2 linked regions of the Macaca fascicularis genome follow. The protein of the gene in region 1 interacts with the protein of each later gene in a pairwise test. Links are inferred from orthologs where the notes say so. Each region holds a gene or a part of one and is shown on either strand. Other genes may lie near its edges.

Region 1 (7,377 bases):
CTTGGTTGCCTGTTGCTAAGTTCCAGGCAAGTGTAGCAGAACCCAGTCCTTAGCCCTGGGACATAGGCTCTACCTTGGATGTGGCATGATGAAAATACTGGAGTCTAGGTTGCTGTTGACCTGGCCCATTCATAGTTCATAAAGTCAAAGTTCTAAGCCAGGAGAGGCCAGTTGAGAAGACCTGAGGCTACTGCTGCCCCTGCAACCAGGCACTCAGCTCTTAAAGGAGAGTTGTCACTCAGAGAGAAATGAGCCACTGTCTCAACCTCTAGCTCAAGAGCCATAACCCAGAAATACCATAAAACAAAGAGCTCCAAATCTCTTCCCAAAGGAACTGACTTAATTTGCAAGACAATGTGAAGAAGTTCAAGCCTAAGGGTACTCTCAAAAAAAGTAGAGATTGTTCCAAAGGCAGTTAATTGGGAGAAGACTAACAGATTCACTGGAAATAAAGGCTTAACTACAGGCTGGCTAGTTTGCTAGACAGAAGTGAGAAGAGGCTGTGAAGAACCTTCTTAGGGTCAGAATAAATGTCAAACATTGAGATTCTTGGGAAAAGTAAGCAAAACTAACAAACTAACAAGCTAGACTGACCAAGAAAATAAGACTCAAATTATTAGAATCAGAAATCAAAGAGGAGATATCACCACCAACCTTACAGAAACAAAAAGGATTACAAAAGAATACCATGAACAATTTTATGCCAATTACTTGGGTAACTCAGATGAGATGGACAAATTCCTAGAAAAATATGGACCAAAATACTAAAACTGACTCAGGAACAGATAATCAATCAGAATAAACCCACAACAAGCAACTAGACTGAATTAGTAATTAAAACTACCCATATGAAAAGCCCAAGAACAGACAGCTTCACTTGTAAATTCCACAAAACATTTAAAGAATTAATACCAGTTTGGAGGGAATACTTTCCAATTCATTCTATGAGGCCGGTATTATTATCAAAATCAGATAAAAACATTACAAAAAAAGAAAACCACAGACGTATCTCTTATGAATATGGATGCAAAAAGCCTCAAAAAAAATACAAGCACACTGTCAACATTGTACCAGAGGTTCCAGACAGAGAAATTAAGTAAGAAAAAGAAACAGAACTCCTGCAGCATAGAAAGGAAAAAGTAAAAGTTATCTCTGTTCACAGATTCCATGACCTCAAACATAGAAATTCTAGACTCCACTAAAAAAAAAAAAAACAAAAAAAAAAACCTGTTATAACTAATCAAAAAGTTCAGCAAAAGTTGCAGGATACAAGATTAATACACTTAAAAAATATATTTCTACACAGTTGTAATGAACAACCAAGGAAACAGTTCAACTTATAACAGTATCAGAAATAAAATTGGAATTTAACAAAAGTACAAAATGTATACTCTGAAAACTATAAACCATTGATGAAAGAAGTTAAAGATTAAATAACCAGAAATACTTCCCATGTGCATGGACCAAAAGATAAAATATTGTTAAGCAGGCAACAGTCCCCAAAGTGATCTACAGATTCAATGCAATTCCCATCAGAATACCATCTGGCTTCTTTGTAGAAATTGACAAACTGATTCTAAAATTCACATGGAATTGCAAGTGTCCCTAAAGAGTCAATACAATTTCGAAAAATAACAAAGTTGCAGGACTCACATTTCTCGATTTCAAAAGTTATTACAAATCCAAAGTACTCAAGACACTGTGGTACTGATATAAAGACAGATATACAGATCAATGGAATAGAATTGAAAGTCCTGAAATAAATCCATGTTCTATGGTCAACTAATTTTTGACATGGGTGCCAAGAACACTCAATGGAGAAAGGAGAGTCTTTTCAACAAATGGTGTTTGATGAACCCTTACCTAACACCATATAAAAATTAACCCCAAATTCATCAAAGACCTAAATGTAAGAGTAAAAACTATAAAATTATCTTTAAAAAAAACCCAAAAAAACCTAGGAATCTTAATGACTTTGGATTTGGCAATGAATTCTGACACAATACCACAAGCAGAAGCAATAAAGGAAAATAGAAAACTCTAGACTTCAAAATCAAAACTTTGGTGCAAAGGCACTATCAAGAAAGTATAAAGACGATTCACACAATGGGAGACAATATTTTTCTCTTTTTTTTTTTTTTTAGACGGAGTTTTGCTCTTTCACCCAGGCTGGAGTGCAGTGGCGCGATCTCGGCTCACCGCAACCTCTGCCTCCTGGGTTCAAGCAATTCTCCTCCCTCAGCCTCCCGAGTTGCTGGGATTACAGGCACGCGCCACCATGCTTGGCTAATTTTGTATTTTTAGTAGAGATGGGGTTTCTCCATGCCGGTCAGGCTGGTCTCCAACTCCTGACCTCAGGTGATCCACCTGCCTTGGCATCCCAAAGTGCTGGGATTACAGGCGTGAGCCACCATGCCCAGCCGGGAGACAATATTCTCAAATCATATATCTGATAAGGAACTTGTATCTAGAATATATAAAGAGACAATTCCATAATGAAAAATAATATAATTTAAAATGGGCAAAAGATCCAAATAAATATTTCTCCAAAGATACAAACATGGCCAATAAGAACAAGAAAATATGCTTAATATCACTAGTAATCGGGAAAAACAAAACTGCCGTGAGGTATCACTTCAAACCCAGTAGGATAGCTTTAATCATGAAGTCAGATAATGACAAGTACTGGCAATGATCTAGAGACTGGAACCCTCATACCCTACTGATGGAAATGTTAAATGGTACAGCCATTTTTGGAAAATAATCTGTAAGTTCCTCAAATGGTTAAACATAGAAATACAATATGACCCAGAAATTCCATTTCTAGGTAATTTCATAAAAATACAAGAGAAATGAAAACATATGTCCACATAAACACTTGTACACAAATGTTTACTGCAGTATTATTCATAATGGTCAGTGGGTGGATAAAACCAAATGTCCTTCAAGTGACAGGATAAACAAAATATTGTATATCCATACAGAGAAATATTATTTGTCCCTAAAAAGGAATGAAGTACTGATCATGCTGTAATACGGCTGAACCTTGAAAACATTATGCTAAAAGAAACCAGTCACAAAAGTCACGATTCCATTTATATGAATTGTCCAGAACAGACAAATCTATAAAGACAGAAATTAGTTGTTTAGGATGGAAGGGTTGGGAGGATAAGGGGGTGATGTTTAAAAGATACAGAATTTATTCTGGGGATGATGAAAACATTCTAAAATTGATTGTAGTCATGTCTACACAGCTCTGAATATATTAAAAACCACTGAATTGTACACTTTAAATGGGTGAACTATAGGGTGTAAGAGCGAGTTTTATATCAATAAAGTTATGTAAAAATTTTATGAAAAAAAAATGGGCTGGGCACAGTGGCTCACACCTGTAATCCCAGCACTTGGGGGGCTGAGCTGGGCGGATCACCTGAGGTCAGGAGTTTGAGACCATCCTGGCCGACATGGTGAAACCCTGTCTCTACTAAAAATACAAAAATTAGCCGCGTGTGGTGGCGGGCGCCTATAATTAATCCCAGCTACTCGGAAGGCTGAGGCAGGAGAATCGCTTGAACCCGGGAAGTAGAGGTTGCAGTGAGCCGAGATCACACCGTTGCACTCCAGCCTGGGCAGCAGAGTGAAACTCCATCTCGTTGGGGGGGCCCGGGGGAGGGGGTAGAAAAAAGAAAGAAAAAATGTATTTTTAAAGTGTAAGGAACAAGGCAGAGGACCACTCAAATTTCATTCCTAAAATAGCCTAACTTAATTCCCTTTCTAATATTATATATCAACTTCTAGGCTATGAAGGTAATGAGGTTCTTGTGACCATCATTCCCAGCCAATTACTCGGTTTTAACTCCTGTTTTATGCCTTCCAAATGGACACAGTTGAAAAACAGAGCATTTACCTTCCTTCTCCTTCCCTACAATTAGGACAGGAACAGGCAACTCTTCGAAGCCTCTTGCCAGGTTGTACCTCTTGATCAGAAGTTTGCTGGCCTTGCTGCAAATGCACTTGTGTGAGTTGGTCAGGACTAACAGCACCTATCGTGGCATTAGCAATTCCTCCAACTGCTACAGTTACAGGAGCTATAGTAGCTTGCTGGACTTTTACTCCATCTTGTCCTTGCTGCTGACCTAAAAAGGAAGAAAAAAAAAAAGAAACATTGTAATGTTTTCTACATCTAAAGAAAGGATTAAAAAAAAATTCCATGTGCATAAATTTTTTCTAACAATCTGTAAAGTACAAAAACTAAGGGGTTAATGGCTTATACTATGTCAATCCTTCTAAAATATAGTATTCTCACTTTAGTGGCTCAGGTTGCCTATGTATCTAGATGACGGAACTATATACATAAATCATTTAACCCACTTTTGGACTTAATTTCTCTCTCCATCTATAAAATGAAGATAATAATACTTGCTACTTACCTACTCACTAAAATACTATGAGGATACATGAGTCTAAAAGCATTTTGAGATCCTAAGATAAAAGACGTTATATAAACACAAAGCTTTATTACCATTTCCACAGTAAGCAACATATCTCATCACAACAAGAAAATACAGGAGTGAAAAGTCACTAAACAAAGGATTAAGTTTTATGGACATCTTGCATTCCTAAATAGTTTAAATAAACATCTCTTTATTGATTTGACTTTTTAAATTGTATACATAAAGTGGTTTTTAAAATGCAAAACCACCCAAGATTACTACATACTGTCACTGTAATCATAAAAAGACATTTAAAATATTATTACTTTATTCACTCATGTTATATAGCTTACACTTCATTGCTCAGATTAGTATATATACCAGCGCGGCTTCTTCACTTTGGTAAAAATATAATAAATAATGCACAATAAAACAACAAAAAAATGTATTTGCATGGCTTAACATTATCCTGAAATACAATGCTCTTTTTTTTTTTTTTTTTTTGAGAAGGAGTCTTGCTCTGTCACCCAGGCTGGAGTGCAGTAGCACGATCTCAGCTCACTGCAACCTCCACCTCCTGGATTCAAGCAATTCTCCTGCTTCAGCCTCCCTAGTAGCTGGGATGACAGGTGCGTGCCAACATGCCCAGATAGTTTTTTTTTGTATTTTTAGTAGAGACAGGGTTTCGCAATGTTTGCCAGGCTAGTCTCAAACTCCTCACCTCAGGTGATTCACCTGCTTCGGCCTCCCAAAGTGCTGGTATTACAGGTGTGAGCCACCGCACCCAGCCTATGATGCCTTATAATTATCTTTTCTTTCACACAGTTCTACATTCTCCCCATCAGATGTGGGAATAACAAGTATGTGAATGGACTGAAAAGAAAATACCAATTTATGAAAGAATGTTTCCACCTCAGAATATTGATATAAGTATTAAGTAAGTTAATTTATAAATCCTCTACCACAGTGCTGGCACAGAATTGCTCATTACATAGTAGCTACTGTTACTAATTCATCTCTGCTGAGTTCAGGGGCAATACAAGAATAAAATAAGTCACTTTGGGAGGTCGAGACGGAGGATCACAAGGTCAGGAGATCGAGACCATCCTGGTTAACATGGTGAAACCCCGTCTCTACTAAAAATACAAAAAAATTAGTTGGGCATGGTGGCGGGCACCTGTAGTCCCAGCTACTCGCTATTCACAAGGCTGAGGCAGGAGAATGGCGTGAACCCGGGAGGCAGAGCTTACAGTGAGCCGAGATCATGCAGCCTGGGTGACAGAGCGAGACTCTATCCCCAAAAAAAAGAAAAAAAAAAAAAAAAGAATAAAATATGCTAGCAGAAATAAACATGCCAGTCCTGCATATAAAATGGTTTCTTTCAGGCCGGGCATGGTGGCTCATGCCTGTAATCCCAGCATTTTCGGAGGCTGAGGTGGGTAAATCACAAGGTCAAGAGATGGAGACCATCCTAGCTAACACAGTGAAACCCCATCTCTACTAAAAAGTCCAGTGATTGCACCACTGCACTTCAACAAAAAATTAGCCAGGTGTGGTTGCACACGCCTGTAGTCCCAGCTACTTGGGAGGCTGAGACAGGGGAATCGCTTGAACCCGGGAGGCAGAGGTTTCAGTGAGTCGAAATTGTGCCACTGCACTCCAGCCTGGGAGACAAGAGCGAGACTCTGTCTCAAAAAAAAAAAAAAAAAAAAAAAAAAAAGGCAGGGGTGGGGGTGGTTATTTCAAAGCTGCATATGTAGTATCTTAAAAGTACGGGGCAACCAACAAGAAGCAATAAAAATTACCAAGTAAGAAAATAGTACACATTTTCTAAACAAAATTAAACCTCTGACTCTCCCAGCCAAAGTCAATCTCACCGTCCTCTGCATATCCACAGCACCTTTAATTCCTTTTGGTAGCACCCATAACTAAGATACACATTAAAAAATACATTTTGTCACTGTTTCAGTAAGGATACAAACCCTCTACTAAAGTTTACATTTTTGTACACCTTTGAATTAGCATGGTGTGGTAAGTAAAGCAATGCAAGTGAAGTCAGAGTTGTAAATTTATGACTGTGCACTCAGGGATCCTCAGTTTCCTCAACTCTAAAACAGTAACACTGACTTCCGTAAAATTTCTGCTCCCTGTCTACTTTAAAGAGCTGTTTCTGAGGATCAAGTTGATTTTCCAGGGGTAAAGGCTATATAAATTATAAAGCAATACATAAACAAAAGGTATAATTATTTTGTTTCAGTGTTTTTGAACACGTATTTAGGAAAACCAGATGCCTTAAGGATGACCGTGGCTACACAATCTATTCAAACTACTTGTGTACCAAGAAGCACAGTGATACACACACTTTCTGTTTACTACAAAAAAAAAAAAATGCATTTCTAGAAATGAGAGTACTGTCTGAACAAGCACTCTACAAAATCTACAGCATGGTCCCTATGGAGCTGCAGGTATTTTAAGTTGGCAAATACCCTTTACATCCCCTGAAGACACAGGTATTTTCGGCCACAATTTTTTGACTACTTTTCTCATAACATTTATATAACAGTCATTACTTTAAAGGTCGCAATAATATTTAAGATGACCTTTATTTTAGTAAAGAACTGCTAGATGAGTTTCAAGTCAAAGCTAAGTTGGGGGGTGAGGGGTGGGGAAGAACTGCTAGAGATTCCTGATTCCTCTGGTCCCTTGACCACATCCTTGACATACTCCTCATGCCTCCATATTGTGAGCCTTTCTTTGTTCAATGCCTAAACAACTTGGAAAGTTATTTCAATGAATAATAGAGGCAAATTATATTTGAGTTTGTATATTGAAGCCTGTTAATTGACTTCATCTAGATGTTTCACAGACAGCTAAGTTCAACAACTACTTTATTTCCACTGCCATCAGTAAGCCACCAAACTCCAGAGCAAGACCTCTGAGGCCC
Region 2 (7,377 bases), on another chromosome or scaffold:
AAATTAGGTGGGACAAAATCTTTGTGACTTTGGGTTAAGCAAAGAGTTCATAGACACAGCACCAAGAGAATAATCCATAAAAGAAAAAATATATTAGTAAATTCAACATCTTTTGTGCTTTTTGAAGCACAAAAGCCACAGACTGAGAGAAAACATTTGCAGATCACATATCCAATAAAGAAATTGTGTCTAGAATGTATAAACAACTCTTACAACTCAATAGTAAGAATATAAACAACTCAGATTTTTAAATGGACAAATGTAAGTATACATTTTACCAAGGAAGATATAGGAGTGACTAGTAAGCACATGGAGAGATGTGTAACGTTAGCATTACTTATTAGGGAAATGCAGATTAAAACCATAATAAGATACTACTTTGTACTCACCAGAATGGCTATAATCAAAAAGACCCAAGATGATGAACGTTGGGAAGGATGTGGAGAAACTGGAACTTTGATGCATTGCTTGTAGGAGTGTAGAATGATACAACTTCAGAAAACACCTTGGCAGTTCTTTTAAACATAAATTTAGCATCCTACCCAGCAATTTCCCCAAGAGAAATGAAGACATTTCCACACAAAAACTTTAATGTGAGTGTTCATATAGCAGTCTTATTTATAATATCCAAAAACTGGAAACAAACCAGTGCTCATCAACTGGTGAATGAATAAACAAAATGTGTCGTATCTACATAGTGGAATATTACTCAGCCATAAAAATTAATGAGGTATTGATTTGTGCTACAATGTGGATGAACCTTGAAAACAGAATACTAAGTAAAAGAAGCCAGATGCAAGAGACTACATATTGTATGATTCCATTTGTGTGGACATTTGTGTGAAATGTCCACAAAAATCTATTATAGAGACAAAAAGCAGATAACTAGGTAGGAGTGTGACATGATTACAAACAGGCACAAGGGATCTTTTCTGGGAGTGGAAATGTCATAATCTGGGTTGGGATGATGGTTGTATAACTCTGTAAGTTGATTAAAAGTAATCAAATTTTAAAACTGGATGAATTTTCATGTGCTTACTAGTCACTCCTATATCTTCCTTGGTAAAATGTATACTAACATTTGTCCATTTAAAAATCTGAGTTGTCTATATTCTTACTATTGAGTTGTAAGAGTTGTTTATACATTCTAGACACAATTTCTTTATTGGATATGTGATCTGCAAATGTTTTCTCTCAGTCTGTGGCTTTTGAAGCACAAAAGATTTTACTTTTGATGAAGTTGAATTTACTGATTTATTTTTTTCTTCTATGAATCGTTCTCTTGGTGCTGTGTCTATGAACTCTTTGCTTAACCCAAGGTCACAAAGATTTTGTCCTACTTTATTTACTAGAAGCTTTATAGTTTCAGTTCTTATATTTTAGGCCTTTGATCCATTTTAGTTAATTTTTATGCATGGTACAAGGTAAGGATTGAAATTCCTCTTTCTGCATATGGATATCCAATTTATAAATTGTACCTCAATAAAAGCTGTTTGAGAAAAGACAAGACAGGATGGGAAGCACAGGGAAGTACTAGGTACTATATACACACCTTGGCTATAGCTTCCTACTGCCCCTGTGAGGTGGGTGGTGGCATCTTATTTTGCCGTTGAGGACATTGAGGCTCAACAACACTAAGTTCACCAGTGAAAGTTACCCAAGTAATTAAATTGCCAAGTTGCCAAGAATTTACAGTCAGTAAATACATACATTGATTAAAACGACTTACTGGCTGGGATAATTAATTTAAAGATAATTTTAAGTTGTTATACCATAATGCTTATATGACTTTTATATTGGAGACACCTAGAACAATTTTGAATGGTTCTGGAGTCATCATCTCCTGGCCTAGATTAAATTCACTGATAAAATTTGACTGGAATTTTCTTTGTAAACTTAAGGGATTTAAGAAAACAGTTGGTGAATGATTTGAAGGTGGCCAGAGAGTAAAAAAATAACTATTTTAAGCCTTTTGAGCTCAAGATATTAGGACTTATAAAAATAGGCAATTTCAATTTCAGAACTTTGAAAGGCAAGTAGTACCCATAGGTAAAATCAGGTTAGATAAGGTGATAAATTGGTCAGAAAAAGATTGAAAGTACATTGAAATTGCTTAGCGTGGAAGAGAAATAAGAAAAGATGTTCACCTTACTATACAACAGGGGGCATGTCTTAAGAGAAGATTAAAGTGAAAAAGGGTATATGAATCTGCCTAACACAGGACCCTACACAGCATCCAATGTTCAGTGGTAGATTGTTCTGAGAGATTTAGAACCAAAGAAGTAATGAACGAAAATAGAATTCATAGTATCTACAAAGGTGTAATGATACTTAGGGGCAGTGGCAATAAAAATAAATCATTTATATTTTTCAGAAAGGTAGACAGAGGAAGAAAACCTTCCTTTTTATTTACCAATAAGAACATTATGTCCTCATTCATTTGGCAACCGTTTTTGCACAGCTTTATAGGAGGTGGAGAAAGTAGTCAGTGCTGAAATAGATGATGTCTGAGTCTCTCCCAACCCTGTGACATGTGATAAAAACTGAAGAGTGGAAATGAGAAGAGAGTTCAATTCTCGGTGTTCTTAGTACAGACCAGAGGAAGGTTTTAAAACAGATTTGGGAAGGACAAAATTGCCTGAATTTGTAACAAGGTTGTTATGAAAGAAGAGCATGTTCTGAAGCTTGGTAAAAGATTTCATCACCAAAAAATGTTGTTATTTTATATATATATATATATATTTTTTTTTTAATGGAGTCTTGCTTCGTCACCCAGGCTGGAATGCAACGGCGTGATCTCAGCTCAATGCTACCTCCACCTCCTGGGTTCAAGCAGTTCTCCTGCCTCAGCCTCCCAAGTAGCTGAAATTATAGGCTCCCACCTCCATGCCTGGCTAATTTTTATATTTTTAATAGAGACAGTGTTTCACCACATTCGCCAGGCTGGTTTCAAACTCCTGACCTCAAATGATCCACTCACCTTGGCCTCCCAAAGTGGTGGGATCACAGGTGTGAGCCACCACACCCGGCCTTGTCTTACCATTTTCAGTGGGGCTACTAGAAATGTTTAAATTACATATGTCTTGTATTTCTGTTAGACAACGCTGATCTCAAACATTAAATAATCCTAGCAAATGTGTTTTAGTGTTTAGTAATGATGTATTTAATGTCAGTTAGTCATTTATATCCAAATGTTCATTCTCCTTAAACCAAGAGCATAGGCACTTTTTTCTAAAAAGTGCCTAACAAATAATTTCTTCCTTGAGACAGAGTCTTGCTCTGTCACCAGGCTGGAGTGCAGTGACATGATCTCAGCTCACTGCAACCTCTGCCTCCCAGGTTCAAGCAATTCTCCTGCCTCAGCCTCCTGAGTAGCTGGGACTACAGGCGCCCGCCACCACACCCAGCTAATTTTTGTATTTTTAGTAGAGATGGGGTTTCACCATGTTGGCCAGGATGGTCTCGATCTCTTGACCTCGTGATCCGCCCACCTAAGCCTCCTAAAGTGCTGGGATTACAGGTGTGAGCCACCATGCCCGGCCTACAAATAATAATTTCTTAGATCTTAATTTTTATGCTAGCTTTTATGAGATTCATAGTATCATTGTGTGTTGTTGTTGTTTTTTTTTACCACAGTGGACTTTTTGAGAGCTAATTTTTATTACAGAATAGTTGTTTGAATGTAGAGAAGGCATGTAGTCATTTTTATACTATGTTGTTGTTGATACTGAATTCTTAGAAAAGTATATAACTTTCTGTTTTTCTTCTCCTTGTTTTGATTTTTCTGAGGAGACCACTAAGGAGATTTCTGAATGAAAAGAGCTTTACAGAAGTTTTTCTTCTTTTGCTTTCTTTTTCTTCCCCAGAGCAGTTGTATTCCATAATTAGAGCTTGTATGATTCTTTTGTTTCTTGAATAGGAAATAGGCAATGGAAAACTTCTCTGTTTCTTCCATTGCTCATATCTCTTAAAGTAGGGTTCCTAGCTGTGATTCTAAAATGTTTGGTTTTGTAGTTAATTTCCATAGAAGCACTAAACTAGGTCATTAAAGAACAAATTTACAAGGTGGTAGGTTAATTATTCCATTGATTATAGAGTTTAGCTGAGTAAAGCCACCATTCTTCCAAAACCATTTACAAAAGGTCATCTTCTAATCTGTTTCTCTTTTCAGGCACTTCAGACACCACCTCCAACAACACAGCAACCGTGATTTCCACAGCACCTCCAGCTTCCTCAGCAGTTACGTCCCCCTCTCTGAGTCCCTCCCCTTCTGCCTCAGCCTCCACCTCTGAGGCATCCAGTGCCAGTGAGACCAGCACAACACAGACCACCTCCACTCCTTTGTCCTCCCCTCTTGGGACCAGCCAGGTGATGGTGACAGCGTCAGGTTTGCAAACAGCAGCAGCTGCTGCCCTTCAAGGAGCTGCACAGTTGCCAGCAAATGCCAGTCTTGCTGCCATGGCAGCTGCTGCAGGACTAAACCCAAGCCTGATGGCACCCTCACAGTTTGCGGCTGGGTAAGGCGCTTTCTCATCTCATTGACATCTGAGGTGGAGGTCATCCCTGGAATTACTCATAGGGTAGACTTTGCATCACTGACTTAAATGGGGAAAAAAATGTCTTTAAAGCAGTACTCTCTTTGAAGTGGGCTGTTTTGTGATCATACAAGGACCTTGATTATGGTTTAAGTTTCTTAACACCCTGGGAAGGGCAGTAGTCATACCTTTGTTTACAGATGAAGACCCAAAATATCAGGTCACTAATTACCTTAGTGACAGGGCCAAGAAGAAAGCCCAGAATTCTTAACTCTTATTTTCCCCATTAAACTCTCTCAACTGCCTACTTCCTAATTCTCAAGCATAGATGAGAGATGTAATGGGAGTCTCAATTTTATACTGTTATTGTCACACATAAGAATTATCTTGTAAATATATCTTTTTCTCTAGAATGTTTCTTTCATTTTGGAAAAAAAGAGAAATAAGTCATTCAAAGAAGGGTCAAAATGACTGTAAAAGTTTTACATTTTGTGCTGATCATAACCTCGTTTGTACAAGTAAGCCTCCAGGAAAGCAGTAACTGAGAAACACAAACCATAGAAGAGTAAAGAAAAGTAAATATTTCCACCTGTTTCCCCAGCTGGATTTTCCTTTTGTAAGTTCCTTTTGGTGTGTTGTCAAAATGAGACCTGCATCTCCATGGTAATAAAGTGACTCCTCTTTTGGACTTGCAGAGGTGCCTTACTCAGTCTGAATCCAGGGACCCTGAGCGGTGCTCTCAGCCCAGCTCTAATGAGCAACAGTACACTGGCAACTATTCAAGGTCAGTAGAAGCCTTTTTCTTTCTTTGGTGGCATGCACACATGTACACGTGTGTGTGTGTGTGCGCGCGCTTGAGAGAGACACACACAGAGAGATGGAGGAAGTCTGCTTTGCTAGAGGTAAAAGTGATGGGAAAGATAGTCAAATGCTGACTAACGTGTTGTTGAGAACTAAGAAAATGTCCTCATTAAAAAGCTTTGTAAGAAAAGTACAGGTGTTAGTATGTGAGTAAAAGCAGGAAATATACTTAGTTTGGTATATGGTAAGAAACCAGAACTTTTATGCCAATATTGATCTTATGTGAATAGACTTGAAGCCAGATTTTTTTTCCCCTGATAAGTTTATCCGAAGTATTAATCCAAAACCCATCTCAAGGCAAACTTGACCAAGTAAGACTCTCCGGTCCCCATCCCCACTCCTGAGAAAGCTGTGCATGGGAAAGTCCTATGATGAATGAACATTGGAACACATCAGGTGGACCTCAGGAGTGCTTTTCATTCTCATTAGGTTCTGTTCTTTTTATATCACCATTAGTGTAGAACATATATTCTCTTGGATTATAATGTCTCTTTTCCAAGTTCAGCTGGGTTCCTTTTACCTTTTAGCATGTTACCCAGGGCAATATTCATTCCATGTAGTGAAGGGTTCCACTTGTTTAGTACCTAAGCTTTCTGTCTAAAAATGTTTACTGTTACGTGATGCAGGGAGACAATCTGAGAGACATCACTAATGAGTTAGAATTTTTTTTCTTAAAATAGTTTTGATGAGAGGCTGAGGCAGGGGGTCACTTGAGGCCATGAGTTCAAGACTGCAGTGTGCCATGATCATGCCTGTGAATAACCATTGCACCCCAGCTTGGGCAACACAGTGAGACCCTGTTTCTTGAAAAAAAAAAAAAAAAAAAAAACGTGGTTTGTGCATAAATGAGAGTTCTCAGGGCCAAAAATAGCTATTAGCCAACCTCAGTTAAGATGAAGATTTCACAGGTGATGTCTCTGACAGAGTACTAGACAGTGTGAATCACAGACAAAACCACACTACGGCCTAGATTACCTTACATTGTATTGACTTTCTGATTGACTAAATCATACCTGAATTGGTTAGCTCTAAAGCTTTGGTTATATAGTAATATGTTTTTTTTTTTTGCAGTAGAATTTGTGATAAATCACTTTTTCCTCTGCTTTATTGAATGTTTCTGTGCTGTGGGGATCCTACAAAGGCAAAATGTCTTCCCCAGGGCATGATTGACACTCTGAAAAGATCTGGAACTAGTCTATGACCCTAAGTTTGGAATCTCAGAAAAACTTCCAGCTGCACTAATTCTCACTGTTTTGTACTATTTGTATGAACAAGGCCAAAGTCAGAGGCATTCCCTTCAGCTATATTTTATGTAAGAAATCAACCAAATGTGTAATGCCGTTAGAAAATCCCTCAAATCTACATGTAGGAGTGAGGTTATATGGGTAGGGAGATTTAGGAATGTTGCCAGACAACAGGTTGAGATATTAAATTAGAGTCTCAATTATTTTAAATAAAATGTTGATGATGTCTTCTTTGGGGGAGGAAACAGCATCATAGAAAATTTCTCACCCATTAAAGCACATCCTAGCCTTAGATCACCCACATGTGGCCACCTACATCATTATGTCTGATTTCCTGCTATAATAGATTCATCATTCTCCTTTGCACAAGTCATAGAAATCAAATGTTTAGCCTCAGGAAGTGAGAAATTAATTATACCTTTTCCTTTATTTGGTGATACATAATTTATTTTAGAACTAAAGCCTTTTTGCAAGATGGTTTTCATCTTGTGTAATATAAAGCAGTGGTCCCCAACCGTTTTGGCACCAGGGACGGGTTTTGTGGAAGACAATTTTTCCACAGCCACAGTGCGGTGGGGTGGTTTCTGGATGGCACCGTTTCCACTTCCGATTTTGCTCTGTGAGAATCTAATGCCGCCACTGATCTAACAGGAGGCAGGCCCACCACTCACCTCCTATTGTTAATGTTTTAATCACTTTAGCTAGTTTGTCTTTTGAACAGAGGTAGTTTAAAATCA

The links.
Region 2: the proteins of SP4 (region 1) and POU2F1 interact in binary tests that used the Homo sapiens proteins (3 or more experiments, as listed by UniProt). The two-hybrid records come from large-scale screens. The link is inferred for Macaca fascicularis from reciprocal best matches to the Homo sapiens genes SP4 and POU2F1.

The regions. Positions count from the first base shown.
Region 1 is NC_088377.1:108,761,909-108,769,285, forward strand, and holds part of SP4 (transcription factor Sp4), read right to left. Parts: intron 4,137-7,377; coding exon 3,908-4,136; intron 1-3,907. UniProt on the Homo sapiens protein: Binds to GT and GC boxes promoters elements. Probable transcriptional activator.
Region 2 is NC_088375.1:25,085,008-25,092,384, forward strand, and holds part of POU2F1 (POU domain, class 2, transcription factor 1), read left to right. Parts: intron 1-4,171; coding exon 4,172-4,517; intron 4,518-5,230; coding exon 5,231-5,319; intron 5,320-7,377. UniProt on the Homo sapiens protein: Transcription factor that binds to the octamer motif (5'-ATTTGCAT-3') and activates the promoters of the genes for some small nuclear RNAs (snRNA) and of genes such as those for histone H2B and immunoglobulins.